Sus scrofa: one gene and its partners. The protein of the gene in region 1 interacts with the protein of each later gene in a pairwise test. Links are inferred from orthologs where the notes say so. Each region holds a gene or a part of one and is shown in the gene's direction. Other genes may lie near its edges.

Evidence for each region. The genes of interacting proteins can lie anywhere in the genome.
Region 2: the proteins of MAD1L1 (region 1) and MFAP1 interact in binary tests that used the Homo sapiens proteins (3 or more experiments, as listed by UniProt). The two-hybrid records come from large-scale screens. The link is inferred for Sus scrofa from reciprocal best matches to the Homo sapiens genes MAD1L1 and MFAP1.
Region 3: the proteins of MAD1L1 (region 1) and LGALSL interact in binary tests that used the Homo sapiens proteins (3 or more experiments, as listed by UniProt). The two-hybrid records come from large-scale screens. The link is inferred for Sus scrofa from reciprocal best matches to the Homo sapiens genes MAD1L1 and LGALSL.

The regions. Positions count from the first base shown.
Region 1 is NC_010445.4:1,297,146-1,301,046, reverse strand, and holds part of MAD1L1 (mitotic spindle assembly checkpoint protein MAD1), read left to right. Parts: intron 1-255; coding exon 256-463; intron 464-3,901. UniProt on the Homo sapiens protein: Component of the spindle-assembly checkpoint that prevents the onset of anaphase until all chromosomes are properly aligned at the metaphase plate.
Region 2 is NC_010443.5:127,739,931-127,744,372, forward strand, and holds the start of MFAP1 (microfibrillar-associated protein 1), read left to right. Parts: upstream 1-1,476; 5' UTR 1,477-1,677; coding exon 1,678-1,756; intron 1,757-4,442. UniProt on the Homo sapiens protein: Involved in pre-mRNA splicing as a component of the spliceosome.
Region 3 is NC_010445.4:77,475,894-77,480,448, reverse strand, and holds the start of LGALSL (galectin-related protein), read left to right. Parts: upstream 1-1,589; 5' UTR 1,590-1,715; coding exon 1,716-1,784; intron 1,785-2,297; coding exon 2,298-2,369; intron 2,370-2,506; coding exon 2,507-2,595; intron 2,596-3,260; coding exon 3,261-3,438; intron 3,439-4,555. UniProt on the Homo sapiens protein: Does not bind lactose, and may not bind carbohydrates.

The DNA.
Region 1 (3,901 bases):
GTAGGACGCTTGCCGATGGCGTTTGAAAGCGTCGCCCTACTAAGGGCCAGCCGTCCCGGTCACTGTACGAGTGGTACCGAGACTCAGCGACGGGCGCTCCTGTGTTGAGAGTCTCCGATGTTCCGCAGGTGGGTTGGGTGGGTTTTTTCGGGACGCGGCAGTGAGACCGGGGGGGTGGCTGGGCTGCACGCGGCTCCGCTCTGCCTTCGCTCGCGCTCTGCCTGGGGCTCTGACCTCCCGCCTGTGGTCCCGCAGGGTGACTTTGACCAGAGCAGAACCAAGGTGCTGCACCTGAGCCTGAACCCGGCCAGCGTGGCGAGACAGCGGTTCCGAGAGGACTGGCAGCAGCTGCAGGAGGAGTGCAAGCACCTGCGGGAGCTGGTCCGTGCCCTGGAGGCCGGGGGCCCCGTCCCCGCCGACCTGGAGGCCGCCGCGGGGCTGCCCTCGTCCAAGGAGGTGGCAGGTAGGCCCCCTCCCCATCCGTCTGTCTGTCGGTGGGCAACCCTGGGCTGTGCAGGAGGTGGAGCCTCCGTCCAGGCAGGTGGGTGGGCCTGCAGAGCAGCAGGAATCGGGCAGGCGCCAGAGGCTGAGTCCCCGACCGCTGCGGCAGGTGTGTCCGCTCATCCCGAGGAAGCCCAATGCGCTGGGGGGACAGGGACTGTGTCTCCCCACCCGCGGGCCTTTCAGGGAGCCCGCAAGCCCTCTGCAGCAGGGCCCGCACGGCAAGAAGCAGCCGTTTCCAGCGTGCGGTCTCGTGTGCCCTGAAGCCCCAGACCAGGCTGCAGCCTCTGGAGTCACCGCTCGTTGTTCCCGGGCAGCTCCATGACCACCAAGCCCGTCCACTGCGTGCCTCGGTCACCAGGCGCCGCCCTGGGCACGTCCCTGCTGCGGTGCAGAGGCAGGTCCAGCAGCTCCAGGGACAGAGGGCATCCCTTGAGGACCCTTCCCAGGGGTCACCACCCCACTCCCATGGGGAAGGCCGGAGGCCAGGGGGCACCTGCGGCCTCCCTCTGCAGTTGTTGGAGGGTGCCCAGCGCTGCCGTCCGCTCAGGGCCTCGGGCGGCCTGGGGAGAGGGCACCCCGCCCTCTGGAGCGCGGGGCTCTCGGGTCTGCAAGGGCGTAGGCAGCGTCCGCCTCGGGCGTTGCTCAGGGGCTTTTCCTCCCGGGAAGCCGCCTCCGGCTTCCTCCTGCGCGTTTGCAGTCTCGCCCCGTGTGCCTGCAGGGTGGGCGCTGGGAAGTGTGTGCGGCGTCACGTCCTCCTCCCTGGCCTGTGATGAGCCCGCCTGGTGCGGGGTCTGTGCCTGGCTCCTTCGCTGGGGTCTTAGCTGCAGCTCTTGCTGTCCCCACGTGCACCCAGCCTTTCTCTAAATGCCCGAGGCCCCGTGTCCCTGGTTGGCAGCCTTGCTCGGCGCCAGGCACACACGGTCTCAGAGGTCCAGGGCTCCACGTCAGCCAGATCTGAGTTTCCGTCCCAGGGGTGCACCCTCGAAGCAGCAGGGTCTTGCCCAAAGCTGCACCCGGCCGTTCTCCAGGAGGACGCTTGCTGTACAGGGTTGCAAAGAGGCAGGCAGGTCTCCTCACCCAGTCCTGTGCCCACGTGGACCACAGCCTCTCCCATGACAGTACAGAGTGGCCGTCTGGACACAGCCGTTTGTGCTCTCAGAGCAGCGGTTCCCGGGGGCAGCGGGGGGCAGGCTGGCAGCAGCCTCCCGGGACGTGTGGGCTCTGAGACCTGCGAGCTCAGAGCTCCTGGCTCAGATGGGCCCCCCTGCCCCCATCTATGACCTGCTGCTCTGCAGACAGCGTGGCCAGGGCCATGAACAGGGTAGAGGGGGAGGCAGGTGGGCACCAGAGCCCCACCCATCCTGCCCTCCCTCTCCTCTCACCTGGCGGCCATGTGGCCCTTGGAACCCTGTGCAGCCCCGGGAGGCCCACAGGCACTGGCCCTAGAGGCCCCGGAGGCAGTTGGCTCTTCCCTCCACGGTGGCCCCGCCTCTGCTCACAGGCCACTGCTACCTGTCGCTAAGATTGTCCAGCATCTGAAAAACAGCACAGAGCAAACAAGTGAAAAGATGCAACTGGAGGGAATAGGCCTTCAGAGTGAAGAAAACCCCAAGAAATTGTGCCTTCGGAGAGACAAGGAGAGACATTGGCCAGAACATGAACAACGGACTTTAAAAGGTTTCAGAATGAAAACTAATGAGCTACTGAAAGTTAAAAACATCTAAGAGTGAGGGGTTCTCTCTGTGGCAGAGTGAGTTAAGAATCCGGCTGCACGGCTCGGGTCACTGCGGAGCTGTGGGTTCGATCCCGGCCCAGTGCAGTGGGTTTAGGGTCCGGCTTGGCCATGGCTGTGGCCCAGGTCGCAGCTGCAGCTCACCTTCCATCCCTGGCCCAGGAACGTCCATATGCCTCAGGTGTAGCCAAAAATAAAGAAAAACCCAAGAGTTAAACGGAAGTCTAAACAGAAGACTTATAAAGTGGAGCAAGTTTATCTGAAAGTGGGACGAAAATGCAGTGAGGTGGAAACAGGAGGAAAAGTTCGGAGAACCCAAGGAGCCGTCTTGAGAACAGGGCGCCCAGAGCTCAGGGTGAGGGGGCCTCTCGCGTGGCGGATGATGGCACCCGCCCGGCAGCAGGAGTAGGTCACTTGTCAAAGGCCAGGACTGGCACAGCTTCCGCTCCTCGCTCCTTGGCAGCGGCCCTGGAGGCTGGATAGTCGTGGCCGCTGTCGCATGCGGCAAGCCCAAGTTTGCGACGTGATGGGAGAAGCTGTACCTGCCACGTGCCCTCCTGGGCACCGGGCTTGGCTGGGAGTCGGGAGGGGGGGTGTTGTGGGGCCGCTGCCCAGCCTCAGGTGACCGGGCTCCAACTGGCAGGGGGACCTTGTGCCCAGGTGTTCCTGGGCCGTTGACAGGAATCGCTGACAACCCTCTCGGGGCCGTGGCCCTGGATGGCAGAAGCCTCCCCCAGGGCCCCCTCCTTACCCAGCCTGGGCCAGAGAGATTAATTGTAGTTTAATTAGGCAGTGCATTCATATTCATCGAATCTTGTCAGTGGCACACAAGGTGATCACACTGTCACCGCCTGGCTGCGTAGCCGATCCCCAGGGGTCCCCGGCGGAGCCCCGCCTGCTCTGCCCAGGGAGGAGGGCGCCGGCCGGGGGGCTGCGGTGGGACCCACGCCGTCCGCTCTCCCAACGGAGCCGCACCCTCCTTCCCACGTCCGCCGTCTGCTGTCCGCCGGCGCCACTCAGCAGGCACGGTGGGCCACGGGGCGCCGGCCAGCAGGGCTCTCGGGTCCAGGGCTGCCCCTCCCGCCGCCGTGGGCTCGTGTGTAAGTGAGGGTGGAGTGGCAGAGCGGGCTTGTGTGGCACCTGCCGACTCAAAACAGGCGTCCGCAGGACCCGGCCCTGCCCTCGGGCCATCAGCAGGGGCAGAGCCAGGGGAACACGGACCGAGGGGACGGGGAGACCGGCTCATTGTTCCCAGCGGGAGGGGCCCCCGAAGAGCCAGGAAGACTGCGGGACGTGGGAGGCGAGGGGGAGTCGCCCCCCGGGGCTCCCCCACACCGGGAGGCCCAGGGGGGCCTGGTCCGATGCGCCTGAGCCCGCGGCCCCGGCAGCGCAGCATCGGCGCCCTTCCCTCCGGGCCTTGCAGCAGGTGGAGGGAGGCTGGCTTGGTCCCTGGAGAGGATCTGAAAAGGGAGGCCTCTGAGGCGCTAAGGCTGGAACCCGAGCCCGCAGCGGGGGCGGGGGTCTGGCTCACCCAGACGTCGTCACAAAACTGCTGAGAGCGGAGGACAGGACGTCACCGCCAGTTCCCGTGACCAGGAGTGCATGTCTGAAGGGTCGACGCGGGGAGCAGGGCTGCGGGGTCGCGTGCTGCGCACCTGCAGCTCC
Region 2 (4,442 bases), on another chromosome or scaffold:
ACATGCAGCCTTTTACCTTGACTCCTAGTTCCTTGTAACCCCACCACCAGAAAACTATGCCCTATGGCTACCTTATTATCTTCTCCCTAGGAAAGGAAGCATTTTGATATTTTTTCAAGAGCCAATAACAAGCTGGTTTAATTTCACCCACAAGTTAACTAAGCTGGTTTAAATTTTGCCCACCAGTTAGGATTCTAGTAATGACCTTACAAAGCCCCAACACTGGGAGAAAGTTCTCAATAGCTTCTGTATCACAAAAGCACCAAATGTAAGACTTTAGGGCACTGCATTTAAGAGTTACAGTCATATCAAACTTTTTTTTCTATTCTCTAGATGTCCGTGAGCAGAAACAACTAACTGCCTTCCCATCAGATTTACTCCTTCTGAATAGCACGGTTTTGAAGCTGATAAAATTATAATACAAATTTCTATTTGCTCTATTTTTACAGTCCTTTTCTTTCCAGCTCAAAATTGCTCCTTTGATGGCTTACTTGAGTCATCCATTGTTCCTTAATGGAGATTTGCTCAATTGTATTTCTCCCAGCCTAAGCCCAATTTTAGAACACAGATGAAATAATTTTAGAACGAATCCTTCAAAGCCCTTCAGGAACTTTCACACTCCTCAAATGAAAAATTACTGATAAAATCAAACTTTTCATAGTGTCTAATATATATACCATGCAATTTCTGTACTTCAAGACTTTGCTCATGTGTCCCTTCCCTCCCCACCACAGCAGTTATAAAATCCTTTCTACACTGAATGTGTTTTGACTTTCAATTAGCCTATGTTTTTTACACAGCCCAGCAAGTAAATTGGGATTGTTTCTGATATTACTGTAAAAGCCCTTGAAGACTTCCTAAATAAAATTCAAGTATTTGGAAGACATAAGCCTTTTAACAATGCTCCATACTCCTTAGAGCTAAACGAGGTAAATACAGCAAGTGCTTAATAATTACTTATGGACTTTCATATACAACCATTCCAGCCAAGAATATGTTTTAATAGGCAGTCTCTAGAAAGGAAAGAACTGAAACGCCTAAGAGTGTTTGGATTTCAGGCATTGTTCTAAGCCGTTTAGGGGATTTTTTTTTCCTGCCACTGGTCTAAATTAGCACCACTTGCCCTGACGTAACCCAAAAATATCGCACTACAAACCGCTCGGTCTCATCAAGTGAGAAAATCAGGTGCTATTAGCAGGATTTCTATTTCGATTTAACTCTAATTCTTAGCTTTCAACAATCTGAACACACTGTCCTTCTCTAACTCCTCGGTTTCTTCTTCATCACTTTGCCATTTTCCTCGGCTTCAAACGAACCTAATCAGCGAAACCTTTAATTCGGGTCTTCCGCGGACCTCAGAGTCTTAACCGCAAAGTCCAGAGAGCCATTTCCCGCCAGAAGTGGCGTCCAAATACCGCGAGACTAAGGTCGACAGGGAGTTTATGAGCATGCGCAGTAACAGACTCCACGGACTTTGGCTCCCTGACGTCCTCCACAATCCCACAATCCTCTAGTCGTACATTTCCTGTTTTTCTAGCTCAGCCGTAAGTGGTGTTTCTATCAGTACGCAGCAGTGTCCAGTGGCCTCTGGTGCGGAGGATTTTCTGTTCGTTGACGTTGTACCTGTTCACAGTTTGGAATCAGTCAAGTTTTGGAATCACCGCCGCTGCCATCAAAATGTCGGTCCCAAGCGCACTCATGAAACAACCGCCTATTCAGTCTACGGCTGGGGCCGTCCCGGTTCGCAATGAGAAAGGTACTGTGTTGAGCTGTTTTCCAGTCGGATCTTACTTGTTTCCCTAGCATATTCCAAACCGACCCCGGGCCCACCACCTCAGCCCCAGCGATCCTTAAGACCTTGCCCCCTATTTCTTTCGCCATCAAACTCGCATCCAATCGCGTTGCCTAGAAGGGAAAAAAACACCCACACTATTTCCACCTCATCTTGTTCCTAGAGCCTGTCGGTTCACTCCTACAGCAAGCATCCTCTTCCCTTGGCCTCCACCAATAAACTAGAGTAATAAATAAAGTGAACGCTTGCTGTTTGGAAGGCGTTGTGCGGGATACAATCCCAGTTTTGTTATCCATAATCTGTTTATGCTTTTATAACTCTTACTGTAATTATGTGTCCATCTCTCTCTACTGCATCATAAACTCATAGATTCCTCAAGGCAGGAACCCTCTCTTATTAAACTTTTTAATCCCTTTCAACCAACGCAGTGACTGTATTTGTTAAATTTAATACAGAGACAGTACCCCTAACCTTAAGGAACTCATAGTAGACGTGATTCATGCAAAAAGAGACCTATTCTAAGCAAGTGTGCAGTCTTTCGCACCCCTAATACTGTTACATAGGTGATGTAAACCAAGCGCTTTGAATAATCTCTTCAGACTGGGGTACTCAAGTTGATCTTTAAAGGATAGGTTTGATTCCAGTGAGTGCAGATGGATGAAGCAACACTGTACCTGTTTAGGGAGTCAGACTGAAAAGTCAAGAGTTTTTTCAGTAAGATATTTGGAAAATAATATCACTTCTTTCCTGTTTTTTAAATATAAGGTACTTATCCTTGTGTAACCTGCCTTTTTTTTTTTTTTTCCTTAAACTCTGTGGTTTTTTGATAAGTGCCTTTGGATACATGGAGATCTTATTAATTTAACTGCTTATGAGGTCTATTATATGGAGTTTGTTCCCTGCTGAGGGACAATTAGCTGTTTTGTTACTTTTTTTCCTCTTACACACAGCGCTGCAGTTATCATTCTTTAGTGCACTGCCTTAAGAATTTTAGGGTAGACTCCTAGAAGTTCTTCATCAATTAACTACCTATTGCCATTTGCTCTCCACAGTGGATTGTAAGAGCATTGAAAGTTTTTATTTCCTGTTATATTACCCACAATCTTGGTTGTATGAGATTTTTTTTATTTGCCCGATCTAATGGGTGTGAAACAATAGCACGTTATTTTAATTTGCAATTTCCTGAGTCCAGGATTACTAGGCATCTTGTTTGTGTGTTTATCATCTCTCTAGGTGTTGTCTTCTATGAATTATCTCTTTCAATTACCCATTTTCTATTTAGTTTGTTCTGACACATCCCAAATCTTTTTTTTTTTTTTTTTTTTTTTTTTTTTTTTTTGTCTTTTTGCCTTTTCTAGGGCCACTCCTGTGGCACATGGAGGTTCCCAGCTAGGGGTCCAATAGGAGCTGTAGCCGCCGGCCTATGCCACAGCCACTGCAACTAGGGATCTGAGCCGCGTCTGCGACCTACACCACAGCTCACGGCAATGCCGGATCCTTAACCTACTGAGCAAGGCCAGGGATCGAACCTGAAACCTCATGGTTCCGAGTCAGATTCGTTAGCCACTGTGCCACAATGGGAACTCCCCCAAACTTTAATATCTATTTCCCAGAGTTTTTTGGCTTGTCTTTTAATTATGGAGTCTTCTGTCACACAGGTGTTTTTAGTTTTATTGTTGACAGATTTAACAATTTTGTCTTTTATGTTTTGTGGTGTTTAGTATACTGTTTAAGAAATCCTTGGAGTTTCCTGGTGGCTCAGTAGGTTAAGGATCCAGTATTATCTTGGCTGTGGCTCTGATCCCAGCTGTGGCCCAGTTTCAGTCCCTGGCCCAGGAACGTCCCAATTTAAAAAAAAAAAAAAAAAAAAAAAAAAGTCTTTTGAGTTCCCCTTCCCAATTTAAAAAAAAAAAAAAAAGTCTTTTGAGTAACTTACCCAACCAGAATCCATGAGGACTCGGGTTTGATCCCTGACCCCGCTCAGTGGGTTAAGGATCTGTCATTGCTGTGAGCTGTGGTGTTGATCCCAGATGCAGCTCAGATCCCGTGTTGCTGTGACTGTGGTGTAGCCAGCAGCTGCAGCTCTGATTCAACCCCTGGCCTGGAAACCTCCACATTTCCTTGAGTGCCGCCCTAAAAAGACCAAAAAAAAAAAAAGATTTTTGGTTATCTAAGTGTTTGTATATTCTGAATAGGAAGGATTACACAGTTGTCTAAGACAGACTATAAGTTAAGGAGCTTACAGTCCAGCAGGGATGTAAATGTTTAAGATGTGTTTTTCGTGCATGAGTATTTAGCTTATCTGGAATTGTGTGTGTGTGTGGCATCCATTATAGATCTAATTTTAGTATTTACCTCAGGGCTAGCCAGTTGCCCCAACTACTCCATTGTTTTGCCGTACCCACTGCAAGTTATGCTTATTTGCCATATGTATAACTTCTTTGGTGAGGTATCTGTTAAGGTCATTTTTTTGGTTGGTTGGTTGGTTTGGTTTTTTTGCCGTCCACTGATTTTTAATGTCACTTCTGCAGTATACCAAGTTCTCATTATAGGTTTGTTTCTCTGCTCTCTGTGTGTTCACTTGGTCCCTTTGTATCCCTCAATGATATACTGTTTTAATAACTATAAATTTGAATAAGTCTTGTGATCT
Region 3 (4,555 bases), about 76 Mb from region 1:
CGTGTGCAGGTAATTCTCTGTACTCCACTGAGATTATCATGATTAGCTCTGGTCCATAAAAGGAAAGCTAAGACACAAAAGCCTCAGTGATGTCCTAGGCCAAACATTCAGCAACGTGGCAAGAAGGGAGCCTCTGAGGGCCCCTCTGGAATTGCAGTAAGGTCACACATGCTCCCTGCTTATTAGTATAAATCACCCGAGTGATTCACACAGTGGAATGTTTAAGCCAAGATGTCATCTAATAAAGGGTATGTTGATACAGCTTTATCTGAGTAGTTACATAATCATCCTAATTTGGAAACCATAAAGGAATTTGTGCCTTGGAATAAAGAGGGGTGTACCCCCTGAGAAGTGCTCCACAAAGTATATCAGGAGATTTTCAGTGACAAATTTACTCCCTATACTGAGCAGGTGACTTGTTAATAAAACCAAGAAAACAACAACAACAAAACGGTCTAATGGAGGCTTTCTGAGGGCAGTCACTCTGACGGATTCAACTTGTTAAGACTAGCCAGACCCCTGCATGAGAGAGCTTCCAGGTAGCCCCAGACTTGCCCATTCTTCCATGGGGGCGGGGCGGGGGGTGGAGTCTTCTGTACCTAATCTTCTGTAATATAAAAGTCCCACTTGTGAATTCTCTCTACCTCTTGCTTTTAGGTCAAATATTTATTTTTGCAAAGCTCAGAGACCTTTCATTATCTTTCTACCCCAGAAAGCCCAATGAATCTTTCCTCGTACTTTGTGGGAATTCTCTGAAAGAAATCTTGAGCTCTGGAATACCATCTGCACTCCCAATCTTCTGCTGACCTCGGTCTCCACAGTCCCACCTGCTCCGAGACGTGGCCGGAGAAGGATGGAGCGGAGGGGCGGGATGTCACAAGCACCTGTCACCTGGCAGGCTCAGGCCTTCACTTCCCCGTGCCCCAGCCCCACCCACCCTGCCGAGGGAGAGGGCCGACCGGGCGGCCGCCCGTACTCACGCCCCGAGCCCGACAGGCCCGTCCCTCCCGCCCCAGCCTCCTGCCACTGTCCAATGGCCGAGGGGTAGGGCAAGCTGAGCAAGCCGCAGCAGCCCAGCCGGGTCCCCGCCCTGTTCCCGGTTCCCAAGCCGGGCCTCGGCGGCCTTTAAATGCTGCCCAGGGCCGGCAAGGCGCGGCCCTCGCCACCTTTTTCCTCAACCGGCGGCAGCAGCACCCTGAAGAAGCCAGCAGCCTCGACTCGGCAGCGCTGTCCGGACGCCGGCGGCTGCGGCCACCTCAGACCTGCCGGCCCGCGGCACCTCCCCCGCCTCCTCCCCTTCTCCCCGGCCCCACCGGCCGGGTCGGCGCCGGGGCCCCTGGTGCGCGCGCGCGCGTGCCCGCGTGTGTGCGCGCGCCTGAGCCAGCCTCGGACCCGCGTTCCCGCCCGGTGCAGGACCGCCCCGGGATCCCCGCCCGCGCGCTGCGTCCCACGTCCCCTGCCGCCGGGCCGCCAGCCGTGCTCCCCGCCGCGCTGCGCGAGAAGATGGCGGGGTCGGTGGCCGACAGCGATGCTGTGGTGGTGAGTGCGCCCCCCTCCAGCGGCCCGCACGGCCAGGCCGCCGGCTCCCGCCGAGCCGAGGCCCTGCCCCGCGCCCCCCGCGTGGAAAGGCGCCCCAGTACCTGGTAGCGGGAGCGGGCTGTGCGCGGTGTGCGGCCGGAGGGGTAGCCCGGTCGAAGGGCCCTGGCTGAGGGGAGATGTGTGGGGGCGGCCCGCGGGATAGGGGTGACCGCCATACCCCTTTGCGCCGTGCAGCCGCCGGCCAGGTGTGTGCACGTTGCACGTGTGAGTGTGCGCCTGTGTGATTGTGTCCGGGACGTGCGCCCCGCGTCCGCCGCCGACGTCCCGGGGATTCCCCCTTGGAAATGGGTCCGCGCCGAGGGCTCGCGAGAGAAGTTGAGCGCGGCCACTGCACTCCAGCCACGTCCCGGAGGACAGGCCTGGGCGACCGCTTTTCTAGGGGCGTTTGCTGTTGGAGAGGGACCTGCCTTGTTCCGGCGCCGGGCACTGGCTCCCCAGTGGGCCTCGACCTTGATTTTGATCTAGATTGGAAGGGTCTGGGGATCGTCAGAGGCTTAGCTACCTGGTGGAAAGGACGGGTTTTGTTCTGGGGGGTTATGCGGTTTTTCAGTGGACTGTGAGGTGGCAGCATCTGCAGATACTGCCTGCTTTCTGTGCAGGGCTGCTGGATTCCGCCGGATTTGTGTAGGTTCTTCCCCGCCCCCCAACCCCCTCCCCAAAGGCCTTTAGAAAGCCAATCTGTTTGCTTCTATTTTTAGAAACTAGACGATGGGCATTTAAACAACTCCTTGGGCTCTCCAGTTCAAGCCGACGTGTACTTCCCACGATTGGTAAATGATTTTGTTCTGCGCTCTGTGTCTGCCTGCCTGTACCCTCTTCTTTCTAACTGCGTTTTCTAATGGGTCAGGTCCTCAGAATCTGAGGGCTTGGCTCTTCCCTAACAGGCTGTAAACTTTCTCCTTTGCAGATCGTGCCATTTTGTGGGCACATTAAAGGTGGCATGAGACCAGGCAAGAAGGTGTTAGTGATGGGCATCGTAGACCTCAACCCGGAGAGGTAAGACAAGTTCTTGTCACCTAGATCTATCAGAGGGTCACCAGGTCTTACCCATTCCTGTTGTGGTTTACTCTGTCTCCTCTTCTTCCCCTTGCGGCCAGTGTTGCTAGTTGGAAGTGCCAAGAAAGTGCTATGTTCCCATGAAAAGAATGTGTATGAATCCCAGCCATCATTTCTCTAGACAGCTATTTATATCAGAGATTATAAATATAGGCCCACATCATTTTCTCTTTGACCCTTAGAGAGCCCGAAGGATTTTTTTTTTTTTTTTTTTTTACATTTTTTAAAGGATGGTGTTTGGAGTAAGAACTATCAATATAAATGAGAACCAAACTTTACAAGATAGTATTTCCCCTGGTCAGGTTATTGGGCTCAATTTGAGACTTTGAAATGGATTAAGACACAGATGTGTGGGTTTGGGGTATCTGAAATGTCTACAGTTAATTATTTTCATCTTCAGGGAAGTTTTCACCAGGGCCTCTGCTAGGTAACAAAATAAACCAGTTTGTTGTAATCCTACTGCTCCATAGTCTAACCTCCCATGTGAAGAGTAGTGGCCCATTAAAAGCTGACAAATCCAGAGAAGAAGAAAGGATTGGGAGCCTAGGTCTTTGTTAAATGTCTTTCTATTCAACCATGAATAAATGAGATGATTTTCTTTCCAGCTTTGCCATCAGCTTGACCTGTGGTGACTCGGAAGATCCTCCCGCCGATGTGGCAATTGAACTTAAAGCTGTGTTCACAGACCGACAGCTGCTCAGAAATTCTTGTATATCTGGGGAAAGAGGTGAAGAGCAGTCAGCCATCCCCTACTTCCCATTCATCCCAGACCAGCCATTCAGGGTGAGTACCTCGAGTGCTTCAGCTCCAGCCTTTGGCAGGATGGTGATGTTCTCATCTAGGGTCTGCCAAGAATGCTTTAAACAGCCAGAATTTTTTGTGTGTCCAGGATATTTGTCACCTGATAATGAAAAAAAGAAAAGCAATCAATAGAGTGCTGGTTGCCAATACAAATTAAAAATTAATAGTAGACCTTGGCCCTATTTAGCCAATACATGTAAATAAACCCATATTTTCATGTCTTGATTGCTAAGAATAAATACTTTTCTATGTACTATTCATCATAGCACTAGGCATATAATAGATACCTGCCCTGAAATACCTGTTTGATTAATAAATATTTTTAAGTATTTAGAGTTTTTCTCATTTTTTCTTAACCTTTTAAGTAGCACCAAACCATATCAGTTACATCTTTTTAAGAATATAGTGATTATCATTTTATTTTCTCTTCTTCCTTTTGCTAATGAGGACTGGCCCTGTCTTCGTTTCCCACTTTGGGTTAAGTGGTCTCAGTGTATTTCTTTGTCACAGACTGTGTGGCAGACACATTCCCTCCTTTGGGCCTCGATGAGTATAGATTTGGTCCCCTCTATCATGCAGGAAGTGCAGCCCAAACTTCCATCCCAATCAAGCAGCAGTAGCAGCACCTTCCTCTATAGAGGACAAGGCCAAGTAAGAGATGCAAATCAGTAACATGTTAGGAAAAAATTTACTGACATGTCAGACCTGGTAATGAAGTGTCTGCATTACACCTTCTTAATACACATCATAATAATGACACTCATTTAAAAGTTCCATCAACACTGGATCCTTAACCTGCTGTGCTATAAGAGAACTCCATGTGACAGTTTCTTATTGGTGAATTTTAATGCACAGCTCATGAGTATGAGTAGCTAGAGCTTCTGCCAAGAGAAATAATGCTCCAACAACAAAACTGAAATGAAATCAGCCCTTCTTGGTGATATAATTTTAGTAATAATATGAATTAAATGTGACTAATATCACATATGGAGTTTTTCTTTGTGTGATGAATACAAATGCTTTTAGTAAATACATAGCATAGAACCAGCGATTAAACTCTATGGTGAGTTACTTAAAAGAGGAAGAAAAAGGTTTTACT